Linked DNA regions of Rattus norvegicus. The protein of the gene in region 3 interacts with the protein of the main gene of each other region in a biochemical or structural test. Links are inferred from orthologs where the notes say so. Each region holds a gene or a part of one and is shown on either strand. Other genes may lie near its edges. The genes, in order: Cdh1, Dsg1, Jup and Ctnna1.

Region 1 (3,861 bases), on a different chromosome or scaffold from region 3:
GATTGATAACTCCACTTTGGTGAATTGCACCCCTAGGAAAGCAGAAGAAAGGAAACTCAGAACTCCCAAATAGCTAGCTAGCTACTGAATTACTTCTGACATCATCAGGGCAGGCTGGGGCTTAAAGGACATGTACTATATAAGTTTGAAATGACTTTCAAATACAATCATCAAATGTTCAAACCCGCAAATTTTGTATGCACGGTGATTATTTGAATGCTACATATTAAGAATTTAATGAGAACAGCCTGGTGGTGATGGATGGCACATGCCTTTAATTCCAGCACTTGGAAGGCAGAGGCAGGTGGATTTCTCTTTAGTTCAAGGCCAGCCAGGTCTGCAGAACAAGTTCCAGGACTGCAAAGGGCTACACAGAGAAACCCTATCTCAAACAAACAAACAAACAAACAAACAAACAAACAAACAAACAAAACTTGAGTTTTTCTTTCTGGTGGTTCAAGCCCAAATTGCACTTTTATTTTGTAGCACATCAGAGTAGCAGCACACAGGAGAGAAGACCTCTCATTAGCCACTAAGTTAGGAACAATGCTTTTAGGCATAGGGAATATTGTGGGTAGTCAGTGTCCAGACAACAGCATTTGCATTTCTTTGGCTTATGTTTTAGCTGTTCATCCTGGATGGTACATGTAATTTGTCACTGAGAAGGAGTCACTAAATTCAAGATGGAAGACGTCCATGGGATAGATGAACTGTTAGACTTGTATGTCCTCTGCATTACCTCATTTTGTTAATCTTTCCACCTAGGACCCTGTCTCTGAATCCAACCCAGAGCTGCTCACGTTTCCCAGCTTTCACCAGGGTCTGAGAAGACAGAAACGAGACTGGGTCATCCCTCCCATCAACTGCCCGGAAAATCAAAAGGGCGAATTCCCCCAGCGACTGGTTCAGGTACGGGAGGAAGCTGGTGGAAGGCACTCCTGAGAGAAGAGAAAATGTAAAGACCCCATGTGGAGATCTTGCCTTTCCAATTCCCATTCGCTTCTGTTTTCTGTTCAGATCAAATCCAACAGGGACAAAGAGACAACGGTTTTCTACAGCATCACCGGCCCAGGAGCTGACAAACCCCCTGTTGGCGTTTTCATCATTGAGAGGGAGACAGGCTGGCTGAAAGTGACGCAGCCTCTGGACAGAGAAGCCATTGACAAGTACCTTGTGAGTATTTCTTAGATATTGTTGACCACTGGATAACAATTGTCAAATTTTAAAGCAGCTGGTGTTTTATTCCCCAGTTTGGATGTCCTGGACATACAAGTAGCTTAAATTATCTTAACAAGTCGGGGCGGTTCATTGCTGTTGTCGTAGGGATTCATCATATCATGCATGAGCTTAGATAAAAGCTGTCAAAGTAGGCTGGAGGAATGGCTCAACGGGTAAGAACATTTGTTGCTCTTGAAGAGTTCACTTCCCAGCATTCATGTAGGTGGATCACAACCACCTGAAACTCCTGCTCCGGCTGCTCTGATACCTTATGACAACCTCCATTGATAACTCCACAAAAGTGTGTGTGAACACGCGCGCGCACACACACACACTCAGAGACACACACACAGAGACAGACACACACACAGAGACAGACACACACACAGAGACAGACACACACACACACACACGCAGAGACAGACACAGAGAGACAGACAGACACAGAGAGAGAGAGAGACAGAGAGACAGACACACAGATATATACTGCCAAGCTGGGGATAGGTACTGAGGTGGGAGGGACAAAGGCTAAAGACTGATGATAGTCTTATAGCTCTTCCTTACTGTTCTAGGAGCCAGAAGCTAATGGCATCTGGCAGTTTAACTCTCTTGCTATTCTATGGCTAAAAGCTGCTGATTTCTGGCAATTAACTCCTGCTGGTAGATGTAGAGGATTAAGAAAAGTAGTTAGTTGCTTGGGCTGACTCCTCTTTGACTGAGGCTGAGAGTTCTGTTAACTCTGTAAGCCAGAGAGAAAGGAAAAGTCTCTAACACAGAAAAACACTCACTCTGGATGAAGCAGAGAGAAGAAGCTCCAACAAATCTTTGTTTCTGTTCTCACTATTCACATTCTCTGAAAATCCCCTCATACAACTATCAGTTAGAACTGTTGCAGTAGGATAATCGATTACATGATTTCTATAATGTAATTTGCCCCCCCCGCCCCCCCCCCCCGGAGCTGGGGACCAAACCCAGGGCCTTGTGCTTGCTAGGCAAGCACTCTACCACTGAGCTAAATCCCCAACGATTACATGATTTCTAAACACTCTTACGTTCTGTAAGTTCATAGTAAATTTAAGGCAATAGTTATAAGATTTAAGGAGTTACAGCAGAAATGTTTACATTTCTTCCCATTAAGACTAGTATCTGATGAAACATCTGTTATCTATCTTCTAGACCCATAAATCCAATATAAGTAAATAATTTTTTTTATCACAAGTTAACACAATTTTGTTAAGAGATAAATCACCTACCTTGCGTCTTATTAGTTTTGAAGTTTTGTATAGATAAACTAGTCAATATTTTATTTGTTGTATTTGCACCTACAATAAATTGTCCATTCCCAGTTTATGACCTTTAGTTACCAGATAGTGGCCTTGTTCCTAACCTAGAAGGAATGTTTTACTTGGTCGTAAATTTGTTCCAAGCCTGCTGCTTTCTTTTTTTTTTTTTTTTTTTTGGTTCTTTTTTTCGGAGCTGGGGACCGAACCCAGGGCCTTGCGCTTCCTAGGTAAGCGCTCTACCACTGAGCTAAATCCCCAGCCCCCGCCTGCTGCTTTCTTTTCTTAGTGCAGTTAGCCTGTAACACGTGACGGTTTACAGAGCTCTGTTTGCAGCTTTTTCTTCTGTAGGGGACTTGAGATTACTTGTATCAATTTAGGAATTTTATAAAATCATTATCAAGAATTATGAAATCATCAATTCTATAGGCATTACTATATGAAAGCACATCTTCATATTGATTCTGTAGGAGATGTGCCCAATAGGGTGGGCTGATGCCCAGGAATTGGCTGTGCGATAGTGAAAGGAAATACAGTAGCAAGAAGCAATCCTGGGATGAAGTCTCTGAGGACCCTGCATTCTCAGAGCTCACCCATCGCACCTATACAAAATGGTGGCCATCTCCAGAAACCTCACTTGTATGCCTTAGCCTTTCCTAAGTGACTTCTGACATATACACATACATAACAAAAATTGTAAGATGTTGACTTGGCTCAGAAGATGGCTTAGTTATTTTTTTGTTTTTTGGTTTTTTTTTTTTTTTTTTTGTTTGTTTGTTTTCTTCTTCTTCTTTTTTTTTTTTTGGAGCTGGGGACTGAACCCAGGGCCTTGCGCTTGCTAGGCAAGCGCTCTACCACTGAGCTAAATCCCCAACCCTGATGGCTTAGTTGTTAAGAGCACTGGTTGTTCTTGTAAAGGACCTGAGTTTGGTTCCCCATACTGACACGGTAGCTCATAACCATCTGTAACTCAGGTCCAAGGGGACTCAGTGACTTCCTTAGGTATTAGCTCAGGTATATATATGGTATATATACATACCTGGAGCCAAAATATTCGTGTGTGTGTGTGTGTGTGTGTGTGTGTGTGTGTGTGTGTAAAAGAGAGGGGGTGGGGAATAGAGAAATGGCTTAGCAGGTAAGAACACTGGCTACCCTTTCAAAGGACCTGGTTCAATCTGTAGCACACCCAGCAGCTCAGAACTGCCTGTAACTCCAGTTCCTAAGGATTCAACACTCTCACACAGACATATATGCAGACAAAACACCAGTACACATAAGTAAATAAATATTTTTTTTAAATTGGTGTTCTGCCTGCATGTATGCTTGCACACCAGTAGAGGTTATCAGATCTCATTATAAGTGG
Region 2 (3,861 bases), on a different chromosome or scaffold from region 3:
AATAGTGCAGGTGACTCACTTGCGTTAGAGTTTTCCTCGATTTGTCCTAGAAATGTAGTCATTGAAAACACAGGAGGGTTGTCATTTATATCCATCACCCTGACTCTAAGCTCTAGTGGATTCTCCAGGTCTTGACCTTGTGCATTCAGTGCTCGGCAGTAGATCTAGACGGGAAAGGAAAAAGTCAGTGGCAAGGCATGTATTTGTCACTTCTCACAGAATGCAGGCATCCCTGGGTACCACAGGATTAAGGGACACATTATTATTATTATTATTATTATTATTATTATTATTATTATTACTTCCCACTAAAACAGCGACACGAGCAACTTATACAATCAATAAGACAAGGCAAGGAAGAGCATTCAATGCAAGTTTAAAAACATCCTGGTACGTTAGATAAAAGGAATGATGCATAGTCTATGTTTACAATCAAGCCATGCCAGAGGAGGACGTTAGAGAATGTGGTCAGGGATAGTCAGGAGCACTGTAAACAATAAGTGGCATTCTTAAGTGTTGGAATACCGATTTGGACTTGGAAGCCAAGTGATTAAAGTAATTCTAGGGACGCAGATGAGCAGTGTGAATTAAGGCAGCAAAAAGTAAGGAATATCTGAAGGTAGCTTGGAATATGATTTTTTTTCAGGGCTGGGAATCAAAGCCAGGCCTTTTCATGGAGTCAGCAAATGCTTAATCACTGAGTTTCATCCTCCGATCTTTGATGGGATTTTAATAGAAGAGACTGTAAGATCAGTGAAAAGTTTGTTTTCATTTTTATTTTATTTTTTTTTTAATTAAGAAATGTCAGCCATGTGATTGATGGAAATGGAGGCAGTCGATAGATGAGGAGAACAGAAGAGAAAAGGTAAGTCAGAGGTTAAGGCACATTAGAAGAGAGGCTACTGAAGTTGTGTGACAGTGTCTAGGAATAAAAAAGAGAGATAAGGCCAGGTAGGGATGAGTGAGTTTCTGAAGTTAATTTAGAGCTCAGATGAGTTTGATTATAATGAAATTTGTTCACATGAAACAACTGGCCTCCAGGAGCTCAAGGCTCATCCCTTGGCTTAAAAGGAGAAAGGCAGGGGGACATAGGGGACGGGGAGGGAAGGGGAGGGAAAGCTCTGATCTGGATGCAAAGTAAATAAGTTAATTAATGAAAAGAAGGAACTATTGATTTCCACTGATGTTTCTCTTTTAAAGATTGAATAGAAGTTAAAGATTTGTCCTTCCAAACAAATTAATTTGTTACAGAGCTGATGTAAACTAAGATTTTTGTTAACACATAAGGGAAACATTTCTCTATTAATATTTCCTCATCTATTGGGGTAATGAATTAAGAAAGATCTCAGAAGGCCCAATATTGAGACTCTTGAAATCAAATCTGGTATGGTCTAAGATTTTTCCAGGAATAACATCTACTTGAATAAAGATATTGACACAAAGCCCACTTACAATGAAAAAGGGGGTGACTTCACGATCAACAATGGATGTTATATTGATTTCGCCAGTCTTCTGATTAATAATGAAGATTCCATAAGGTGGTTGGTCAATTCCTACTCCGGAGATGCGGTATGTCACTGGTTGGTTTGCAGCACAATCTGAATGAATCTGTATAAAGACACAGTGAAGATGTTACAAGGGCCATGTGAACTTCTACACGCAACAGATGACAACTGTCTTCCTGGAGAACTGTTGAGTATGCGGTCTACAACATCACCTGGGAGTTTTTAGAAACGGGGAAATGATAAATAACAATGTAATAAAACAATTCCATTTCTATGTCTACCAAACAATAAAGAAACAAATGTCACCCTAAGAAGTCTTTATATACATCAGTCATAGAGGTCATAATCATCAAACATTTATAGTTTTATTTTCATATTAGTTTTGGACTCTGTGCTAGCTCTTTGTCTAGAGATAGCCTTCTTAGAGAGTTATCATGTAATGTTGGTATTTAAATTAAATATAACTTTAAAAATACAAAGATTCAGGAAAGTATTTAAATGGACTTTATAGTAGCAGGCTATTTGAAACTTCTAATTTTAAAAGTGGGGAGGAGAAGGAAAGTACCCACTCCAATAAAGGGTGGTAACTTCTAAATAGTTTATGAATATAAGCAAATCTTACAAGGGAGTTGCCTGTGTATCTGTACAAATGGCTGTTTTTACATCTCTGTGTGTGTATCTACATGTCTGTGGGGGTGAATCTGTGTGTATGTAGGGAGTAGGTTCCTGAGTTTGTGCTTTTGTGTATGAAAAAAAGAAGAAGGAGAATGAGAGGAGCTTGAGGTTATGAACGAGACAACCTCTGGATGTTTGTAAATATGGGCAAACAGGAGTTAATTCTGAGGGTTATGCAGCAGAAAGAGCACATGGTCTGACCACGTTGAGTCCTCAATGCATTTGTAAATCATGGTCCTTTTGGAGTTTAGTGTTACGCACGTTCATGGGTGTTACTTTTGCCAATGAGACAAAACGGTGTTTAGCGCTTTATTCAAGCACCCAACGTTCTTGGTTTATCCCTTTAGGAATTTTGGTTTTCATAATTTGAGTGGGGCGGTGCTGTTAGACCGTACCTTTTCAGTAATATGTGTTTACAAAGCACATGAAAACTGGGCTCTTCCAGAAGTGCGCCCTAGCCCTTGTGCGGTCCAGACTCCTGTTCTGGGTTCACACTTACTTTGGCAATTGGGTTTCTTTTTGAGTTGTCTTCTCCTTCCCGACAGGCTGCGGCGAACTTGATCCATTCTCGTTTCTGCCTTCTGATGGAATGCCACTTGATGGTACCATTTTTGGCGTTATGATCTCTTACCTTAAATAGGTAAAACGTTGTGTCTGTTAACTGTTACTTATGGGTATTCCACTGGGGATTTTGGAGGAGGAGCAATTATGTCAGGAAGAGAAGATGGATAGTTTAGTGGCAAACTAAGAACTCTGGTAATTTTAGCAGTTGGAACTGTCCCACTGTAGTGGTTTTGTATTTATAAGAATGAAGGTTTTCTTGAGGACAGCCAAGTCAACTCTCTTTTGGTCTGCTCCCTCTGTCCCTCTGTCCCTTTCCCCATTTTCTCTTTCTAGTTTTTTCTTTTCTTTTGTTTATTACATGATTTGAGACAGGGTTTCTTTCTGTAGCCCAGGGGACCGCTTATCCACAGTTCTCATGCCTCAGCCTCGGGAGTGCTGAGGTCACAAGCCTTCACTACTCTATTAGTCTGGGAAAAAAAGGTTTCAAATCTTACCTGGATTTGAAATTCACTGTTAACTTCAAGCACCACCTGTGAAAAGCAGCCACAACGGTTAACTTTAAACTATTTTAAAGTCTATATTACTCAATAAATAAAAACACACAAAATAAAAATAAGATCAAACAATACAGGTGTGGGGTAAATTAATGGCTCTAACTCTTCCTTATCTCTTTCTCCTGATCAGCAAGCGCTCTCTACATTAACACATGTGCTATGAGCAGTGTTCTGTTCAACTTAAGTTCCAGATCTGAATGTTGCAATAACTTGTGGTGAAGTAGCAGGATATATTAAGTGATTTTTAATCTAAAATTGTGATTATTTTTAAAACACTGATATTCACATGTCAAAGTAATGTGTCTGTATATTTGTTTAAGACATGGTAAAATGTACAACTAAAAACGAAACATTTTTTACATTCCTTACTTTATTTTGCACTGAGGGTTAGTTTATGTGAGTGTGAACCCTTAGGTTTTGCAAATATATTTTCAAATAAGAAGTATTCAGCTTCTAATTGAGTTTTTCATAAGAGCAAAGCCTCAAATCCATGCTTACAATCAGACTTTAGTGACGATACAAAAGCTATAGTGTACCACTAAAATATGAATAATCCCTTTTAA
Region 3 (4,488 bases):
TACTGACCATTCTGTTCTTAAAATAAGGTGTCCAAGTTTACAGTGCACCACATTTCCTAGTCTTTCGATCTCTGGAGCTTAGTTTTAAAATCGCATTACACTGTATTTACTTTTATGTGTGTGGCACTTGTGCCAAGGCGGGAGATCAGGGGACAGAGGACAACCTTTTGGACTTGGTCTACCTCCACCAGGTATCAAACTCAGGTCATCACACTTGCCCAACTGAGACATCACACAAGCCCATTAAAGATTCTCTTAATGCGGATCATTTTGAACCCTCTTTGTAGACCAGGGTGGCCTCTAACTCAGAGAGCTGCCTGCCTCTGCCTCCTTGAGTGCCGAGGTTAAGGTTAAAGGCCCGTGTCACCACTGCCTGGCTGCCTGCTCCAGCACTTTTTAAGAACTGTCTCGAACGGACCATCTCACTGGCTTAAATACTGACATTCCTCAGCTGTTTAAGCTACAAAGTTTATTTAATCTCTCCAACCCAAGATAGATAAAGCTAATGAACCCACTTAGATACAGGGTGAAAAGTATACTAGCTGGCCTAAGGTCATACAAAGATTAAGGGGAGAACCCAAACCAGGCCTTCTAATTCTAAACAGAAGAGAACCGGGAACACTCCATCTTTTGTAGGGGGAGAAATCCCAACCTAGCACAAAGCCTATGAAATGCTTTACAAACATCTTATTACTATGTTGAGGCAAGAATGAATAATCCTGACGCTGAGTTGGCTGGCTAGTGAAGGCGTCAGTCCTTTCCCATGCTTCCCCCTGACTCACCTGTTGGACAGGTAGGGGGAAGGGGAGAATAATGAGTCTTACCTGCTCAGGGCTAGGGTGGGGCAAGTAACGCCCCACCTGTTCCATTGGCTTTTGCCTTAGTCTTACTGACAGCCCTCTGTCCAATCATAAGGAAGAAACTTTCTATTTGCCAATAGATGCAGAGTGAGGATGAGACCTCAAGTTGGCGTCCACCCCAGAGTCGACTGGCAGTCCCTGGGGCCAATGGTGAGCGCATAAACAGAGGCGGCCGTGGTAGAGGTCCCGGCGTGAGGCTCCGCCCCTCAATAGGATAGTCAGGCTGGGCAGCCAGTGAGATAACCTCAGAGGGTGGGAGTCTCCCTAGGGGGCGGAGCTTCAAGGGGGCGAGAGGTGTGGCTTGGCTGTCAGGTCCCTTTGCCTTTTGTTCGGTTACTGAGTTGCTGCCTTGGCCAGAGTCCGGAGCAGCCGCCGCCCGAGCGCCCCGAGCTCAGTTCGCTGCCTGCGCCGGCTGTCTCCCGGCCAGACCCGACCCCGACCCGGCTCGGCCCGGCTCCACGCTCAGGTACACCGGATAGGGGTACGTATCACTGAGGGTAGAGTAGGGCAAGCGGCCGAGAGGTTGGTTCCAGCGGTTTCAGGGCAGGTGAGGGCGGGTGCCAGGGAGTGCATCCTACACCAGCGACAGGGGGCGCACTGGGGTCCGGGGCACGGGACCCCTGGGACAAGCGATCTGGGTTGGAGCGCCCCTCCAGGCTCGGTGAACCGCAGGTCTGAGAAGGGCGGGGAGGAACTAGGGCAGGTGCCTCGGAGTTCGCGCCTCCCCCAGGGCCCGCGGAGCTTGCCCGACGCGGCGTCGCTGACTCTCCCCTGGAGCTGACCGGGCAGACTTTGACCCGCTCCGCCTGGTCCCAGATCCCACGGTGACAGGAATTTACCGCTCGGGAAACTTGCTGCCTAGTCTCTTTGGGGCCACCCTCACCCCACCCCACGCGTCATCCTCGCTTTCCCTCCCTCCCTACTCCCCCAGGCCTGGGTGGGGCCCTATTGTCTGCGCCCAGCTTACCCAACTGTGGGGGCCGAGTGCACATTTTCCCAGAGACGCGATTCCCACCTGCTGAGCAGAGCAGGTGAGCGCTTGGAGGACCGAGGCCCTGCCCTGTAGCTCCGAGCTGGACCTGTGGCGCCTCCCTCCGCTCTAGTGTACGCCGGTCTATGGCTTCTCTTACGGAGGTGGATGGGGTGACGGGGGAACTGGTGAAGGGTCTGGGCTCAGTGCCCTACCGATGTCTGTCTGACCTGGTGGCATGGCCTGGAGTCTGGGCCGGTAGAGAAAATTAAGAAACACTCGCCCAGATTTTAGTAGCTTGTGGTTTCCAGAGTGTTGGTAGGGAAACAGCGATATCTTTTGATTTCTGCAACCCATTATTGTTGAGAAATCACTCCAAACAAACTTTCCAGGAGAAAGTAACCGTGGGGGCCTTTTCTAGGATTTTCCCCGTCTCCTTGTTGAGAGCTGATTCAAGGCTTGGTGGTACTTCTTAGAGGAAAGCCTCTTCCCTGGTCAGCTCCAAGCTGAACACAGCCTGTGCGCTTTGACCCGGTTCTCCCTGCCCCCACCTCCATCCTGTTTGCTAGGCCCCTAAGGCCCGAGGTAGGGACCAATGGGGGTGGGTGGGGGCGTTGCTGAAAAGGGAAGTGTCTTCTTCCTTCCCTTTTCGCATCCTCACGGGACCACCACACCCCCTTATATGAGGCCTGCTAAGTGCCTCTCCTCCCAAGCTCTGCCCCTTCCCCAGGAATGGGGTTGGGGCAGGGCTGGGCCAAACTAGGAAGATTGGGAAGAGTGATTAATCTTTCCCCAACTCCCCCGTTCCATCCCCCAGCTTATTTAGCTGGCTGACCATTGAGGCAGGGTAGCATAGGGCAGGAATGTTGCTTGCTGTTCACTGGGTTTGAATTATGAAGGTGCGTCCTTTCTAGAGGACTTGCCAGAAGTCCCTCCTCCACCCACTCTTTAACTGAGTGTTTGGCGGGGAAAGTGGGACAGGAGGAAGTCTTTGCTATGGAAGGCTTCTGCCATGCCAGGCACCCTCAGGGTGAACAGTGTGAGCCCTCCCCTTGGTTCCCTGTGCTGAGAGCTCCTCTCCAGCTGGAATTGTCAACTTCTACTCGGCTTGCTGCACTCTTCTGTACAAATCTGAAGATTGGCCTTTTCATAGGCATTTGGAGTCCAGTCTTCTTGGGGGGACAGAGCAGGAATGACAACGCTAGCGGGGGGGGGGGGCAGAGGGAAGATGGGGTGGGGGTCGTGAGCACTGTTTGCTCTGATTCTCCTGGAAGCTGAGGTGGTGCTTGGTTGTGAATAGAAGAGTGGGGGTGGGAGACATATCCCCCGTAATCTCGCCTTAGGTCCTGTGGTTGGTAAAATATGTGTGACCACCTCTAGGAAGAACTGGGGGCATTAGTTTTAGGCTCATGTCCTCTCCGTGTCAAGGAGGAGGAGGGGTAGGCATTGTCATTAGGTGAACTAAATGAATAGTTTAGCAAATCTGGTTCGTGGCTCTGGTGAAAAGACAGTACTGAGGAAGAAGTAGGGCTATGAGCTGCCCGGCCCAAGCTGGCTTCTGACGGACAGGAGGGAGGGGAAGCAAAGGTAGGATCCGATTAGTCATTTCTCACCAGATCAAGTCTGGGCTTGGGTGACAGAAGCCTCCCCCGCACCCGAGCTCCACCCCATTCCCTCTGGAGCCGCCGTCTGGCCTGCTAAGGTTGAGCTTGGAGAATGCAGCCTGTGGGAACGGAAGGTCAGGCGGGGCCTGCTTGACTGTTTTCCTTCCTGGGGGCCCACAGGTCATTGCCTATGAGAGGGAGGCCTGTCGTCCTGCAGAGCTGCTTTAGGACAAGGTGACACATTTGGCTGGTCCACAGAAGGACAGTGATCTAGGGAGACAGTCTAAGGGGTCAGCTCTGAGAACAGGGACTTGGACTGAGATAGTTTGAATCCCTGAGCAGTGTCTCCTTACCTGTGCAGCCTGCGTCAAAGCACCTTCCTGGCTCAGCGACCTCAGGAATTAATAAACCTAGCTACCCAGAAAGTACTTGACTGATGGTAACTCAAAGCCAGAAGACTGTCTGGTACCAAGCGCCACTAACCATGCTCACAGAGGCAGGCGCACTTTTTTTTTTTTTTAAAGATTTATTTATTTATTTTATGTATATGAACACACTGTAGCTGTCTTCAGACATACCAGAAGAGGGTATCAGATCTCATTACAGATGGTTGTGAGCCACCATGTGGTTGCTGGGAATTGAACTCAGGACCTCTGGAAGAGCAGGCAATGCTCTTAACCACTGAGCCATCTCTCCAGCCCGAGGCAGGCGCACTTTAATGTCTTCTTCAGAAACTCAGGGAAGGATAGCAACTTGCCCAGTGTTGCTAGACTCAAGAGAGGGCTAAGCTCAGACCTCATTCTGCTGTTAGGCTCTACTACAACTCTGGAAGGATTTCTTTTTTCTTTCCCCTTTTTCTTTTGGCTGCTAAGGACCAAATCCAGGGCCTTGTGGATTTGCACGTAGGCAAGCACTTTCCCATGGGATCCATCATCGGCCCTGGATGGAAGTTGTATCCCCCCACTGTCCTTTAATTTTTTTTTTTTCGGAGCTGGGGACCGAACCCAGGGCCTTGCGCTTGCTAGGCAAGTGCTCTACCACTGAGCTAAATCCC
Region 4 (3,861 bases), on a different chromosome or scaffold from region 3:
AGGAGGGCATCAGATCTCATTACAGATGGTTGTGAGCCACCATGTGGTTGCTGGGAATTGAACTCAGGACCTCTGGAAGAGCAGTCGGTGCTCTTAACCACTGAGCCATTTCTCCAGCCCAAAGTAATTGATTCTTAAGAAAGGTCTTGATCTTAATCTTGTTCTAATAAAGAACTGAGGATTTATTCCCCTCTTTTGTCTTTGTTTTGAACTAATAGAAGTGCTTAATTGTTATGGTCTCTGAACGAGAGGAAAACATCAGGGTTGACAGATCTGGATTCATAGCAGATGGTGTAATAGTAGAAGGTTCTCTCTTTTTAAACTTAATTATTTTTATTTTTAATTTTAATTTATTTTTATTTTAATTTTTTTTTTTTTTAAAGACAGGGTTTCTCTATGTAGCCCTGGCTGTCCTGGTTCTTGCTCTTTAGACCAGGCTGACTTTAAAGATTTACTGACAATTATTGTAATTGAGTCTCACTATATAATAGCCCTTGATACCTTGGAGCTCACTGTATAGATCAGTCTGGCCTTGAACTTACCGAAATCTGCTTGCCTGGTTTTCTAGTGCTGAGAGTAAAGGTGTGCGCTATCACCTGATTGGTTTGCTTATTTTCTTTTTAGACATAGGTCTCATGTAGCCAGGCTGGGTTGGACCTTTTTTCATGTATTCAACTCTGTAATTGTGTTGCCTTTCCAAATGGTAGGATGATAGGCATGAGCCATTTTGTCTTACTTAAGAATCAGTCCATCAGTCAGTCAATCCCTCCCTCCCTCCCTCCCTTCCTTCGACAGTCTCACTGGATGGCCCTGGATAGCCTGGAACTCTTGTCTTTTTTTTTTTAATACATACTTTGACGTAAGTAGATTTTTTTTTTTTTTTTTTTGGTTCTTTTTTTTCGGAGCTGGGGACCGAACCCAGGGCCTTGCGCTTCCTAGGCAAGCTCTCTACCACTGAGCTAAATCCCCAACCCAGATTTTTTTTTAAAAAGATTTATTTATTTATCATATACAAGTACACTGCAGCTGTCTTCAGATACACCAGAAGAGGGCATCAGATCCCATTACGGATGATTGTGAGCCACCATGTGGTTGCTGGGAATTGAACTCAGGACCTCCGTAAGAGCAGTCGGTGCTCTTAACCACTGAGCCATCTCTCCAGCCCCCCCCCCTTTTTTTTAATTGTTTTAAAATTTTTATATGTTGTAGGTAGAGGTATGTATAAAGAGATATGTATACATATGGAGGTTATAGTTCGACTTATGAGAGCTGGTTCTTTCCTTCTGTTATGTGGCTTTCAGAGATCAAATCAAATGGCCAGGCATGGTGGCAAGTATTATCTGCTGAGTCATCTTGCTGATCTGGTTCAAGAATTGCTGATTGCTGCTGCTGATTTTCTTTTAATTTTTACAGAAAAAGCTTAGTAAAATTTTACTGGGCTGGGGAGAAGGGTTAGTGGCTAAAGTGCATTTATTATAAATGTGGTGCTTAGACCACATTTGTATCTTCAGATACAAATGTAAATTCTGGACGGGCATAGCATACCCATGTAATTCCAGCACTGGGAAGGCAAGGATAGATTTCCACAGTAAGCTAGTTAGCCAGACCAGAGCTCTGGGTTCAGTGGAGAGATCTTGCCGCAGTGAATAAGGTAAAAGGGGTCAACCGTGGGCATATACTCTCATGTGAAAAAGAAATTAGTCTTATTTATCTTAACTGCCACAGGGATAGCCTTTAAGGTGGCATTTGAGCTTAGTTCTTTTAGGACCTGTTTGTATCTTTTCTTTTTTTGTGTGTCAATTCAGAGATTGTTTTAATTGTTCAGCTTTATTTATTGGATTTTTGTAGGTGAGTGATGGGAAACTGGATCTGACTTTGTAGTCTGCCAGCCTTGAATCAGAAAGTTTTCTTTCTGAGCCTCTGGAATACTGGGATCATAGCTACAGGCCTCACACTTACATGCTCAGTGTGATTTGTATTTTGTTTTAACTAATAAGCACCTGGTAGATGGAGATTAAGTTGTTATGGTTGAAAGCTAGACTCTATTACAGCTGTTCTAAGTGTTTATCTGACTTCCTTTAGTCATTGAGTTAAGGGAAGAGCTATTTGTAAGCCTTTTTGTTATAGTGCCTAGTTACTTTCTGTGTTTGATCCTTGTTATAGGAAGATGCTTAAGTGATAGTACAAACTAAAGGGAGAAAAACAGAAACAGACTCTTAAAATCCATGTTTCTATGAAGTAATGGAGCGAGGGCTATCTTACCCTTTAATAAAATGTTAGTTTTTAATGAATAAATTATTTGGGTTAATTTCTGCTGGCTTTGTGTTTTCATTCTGTAAAACAGGAGATCTGATGAAGAGCGCTGCTGGGGAGTTTGCAGATGATCCGTGCTCTTCTGTGAAGCGAGGTAACATGGTTCGGGCAGCTCGAGCTCTGCTTTCCGCCGTTACCCGGCTGCTGATTCTGGCTGACATGGCAGATGTCTACAAGTTACTTGTTCAGCTGAAAGTTGTAAGTTTGGGTCTATGTCTATAATTTATTCTTCATGTCCTCGGGAAGTTAATGTTGGCCACACTTTGTTTAGTATTAAGAATTATTTTGGTTTTGAATCAGTTTTGATTGCTTCGTTCAGTTTCAAGTATTTATGATACAGGCTCCTCCATAGGCTACTGTTGCCTCAGTTTTGCTGAAGAAATTGTAACAAAGCTATTTTTGACTGCCTTTCTATATAGTACTCATTGTATGTTTCTTTGGACTAATGGTGTTTCCGAATTAGAAAGCCAAAATATAAACTAATTAGGTGCTCCCCAATTCTTCCAAATCACTCGAGCACTCAAGCAGTGCCAGGCCCCATCAACTACACATACATGTTGGGTTGCTGTCCGACTAGCTGTTAAAGAAGATGGCATCTTAGAACTTATTACATTTTACCTATGGATTTGATTGCTTTTCTGGTTTGTTTTAGGTGGAAGACGGCATATTGAAGCTGAGGAATGCTGGCAACGAGCAGGATCTAGGGATACAGTACAGAGCTCTGAAACCAGAAGTAGATAAGCTGAACATCATGGCAGCAAAACGACAACAGGTACAAGCACGAGTGCAGACGCTGCATGCTACTCACCTACTGATCGCTTTGTTTGTTATGGACCAGGCTAGAGTGTATTTTAATATCAGTGGGAATGACCTGATTTGCCTATGTTTTCTAATGGTGTCATTGCTTTCCCCTGTTCATGTGGTTCTAAAATTAAGTTTCGCTCACATTTCTATACAGTGTTTCTGTTTTAAGTAGTTCAAGGCTGGCTTTAAACTTTTGATTTTCCTTCCTTATGTTTTCGTCCCAGCATCTGTTTTCGTGCTGGGGTTAAAGGCATATACCAAGATGCTTGACTAGATGGTATTCTTGAGTAAAAACATAGTAACAGTCCAAAATTTATTTCTAAATAGAGAAACTTACTAGAAAGTAATTCTGTCTGAATTTTAATTCTCCGTGCCCCCGAGTTCATTAGGAATTCCTTGCACATCAGCACTTCTCAACCTGTGCATTGTGATACCAAAGATATTTATACCATCCACGCAGCACTGAGAAGGCCCTCTCATTGTATTGGAAACAGGCAAAGGGCATCCTCCCTCAAGACCACTCAGGACTCTTCCTTACCTTACAAAGCCACTAATGTCACCATGGGGTTACACTTCTCGTAATGTTAAGAGGGAAATGAGAAGAAACTTTCACTTGGATTTCCAGTGTTCTTAGTAGAGTTAGATTACTCGGAGCTTAGCTTTTTAATTTTAGTCACCAGTGCATGGAATGATACGTCAGATTTATGAAAATTAGTTTTTCCTCTCTATGTATATTTTCTGTTA

The links.
Region 1: the proteins of Jup (region 3) and Cdh1 form a complex in vitro, tested with the Homo sapiens proteins (2 studies listed by BioGRID). The link is inferred for Rattus norvegicus from reciprocal best matches to the Homo sapiens genes JUP and CDH1.
Region 2: the proteins of Jup (region 3) and Dsg1 form a complex in vitro, tested with the Homo sapiens proteins (2 studies listed by BioGRID and IntAct). The link is inferred for Rattus norvegicus from reciprocal best matches to the Homo sapiens genes JUP and DSG1.
Region 4: the proteins of Jup (region 3) and Ctnna1 form a complex in vitro, tested with the Homo sapiens proteins (2 studies listed by BioGRID). The link is inferred for Rattus norvegicus from reciprocal best matches to the Homo sapiens genes JUP and CTNNA1.

The regions. Positions count from the first base shown.
Region 1 is NC_086037.1:51,453,906-51,457,766, forward strand, and holds part of Cdh1 (cadherin-1 precursor), read left to right. Parts: intron 1-765; coding exon 766-909; intron 910-1,017; coding exon 1,018-1,173; intron 1,174-3,861.
Region 2 is NC_086036.1:11,957,926-11,961,786, reverse strand, and holds part of Dsg1 (desmoglein-1), read right to left. Parts: intron 3,275-3,861; coding exon 3,239-3,274; intron 2,812-3,238; coding exon 2,680-2,811; intron 1,609-2,679; coding exon 1,453-1,608; intron 165-1,452; coding exon 20-164; intron 1-19. UniProt on the Homo sapiens protein: Component of intercellular desmosome junctions. Involved in the interaction of plaque proteins and intermediate filaments mediating cell-cell adhesion.
Region 3 is NC_086028.1:85,824,447-85,828,934, reverse strand, and holds the start of Jup (junction plakoglobin), read left to right. Parts: upstream 1-1,505; 5' UTR 1,506-1,891; exon of another isoform or gene 1,892-1,964; intron 1,965-4,488. UniProt on the Homo sapiens protein: Common junctional plaque protein. The membrane-associated plaques are architectural elements in an important strategic position to influence the arrangement and function of both the cytoskeleton and the cells within the tissue.
Region 4 is NC_086036.1:27,054,414-27,058,274, forward strand, and holds part of Ctnna1 (catenin alpha-1), read left to right. Parts: intron 1-2,344; coding exon 2,345-2,511; intron 2,512-2,965; coding exon 2,966-3,085; intron 3,086-3,861. UniProt on the Homo sapiens protein: Associates with the cytoplasmic domain of a variety of cadherins. The association of catenins to cadherins produces a complex which is linked to the actin filament network, and which seems to be of primary importance for cadherins cell-adhesion properties.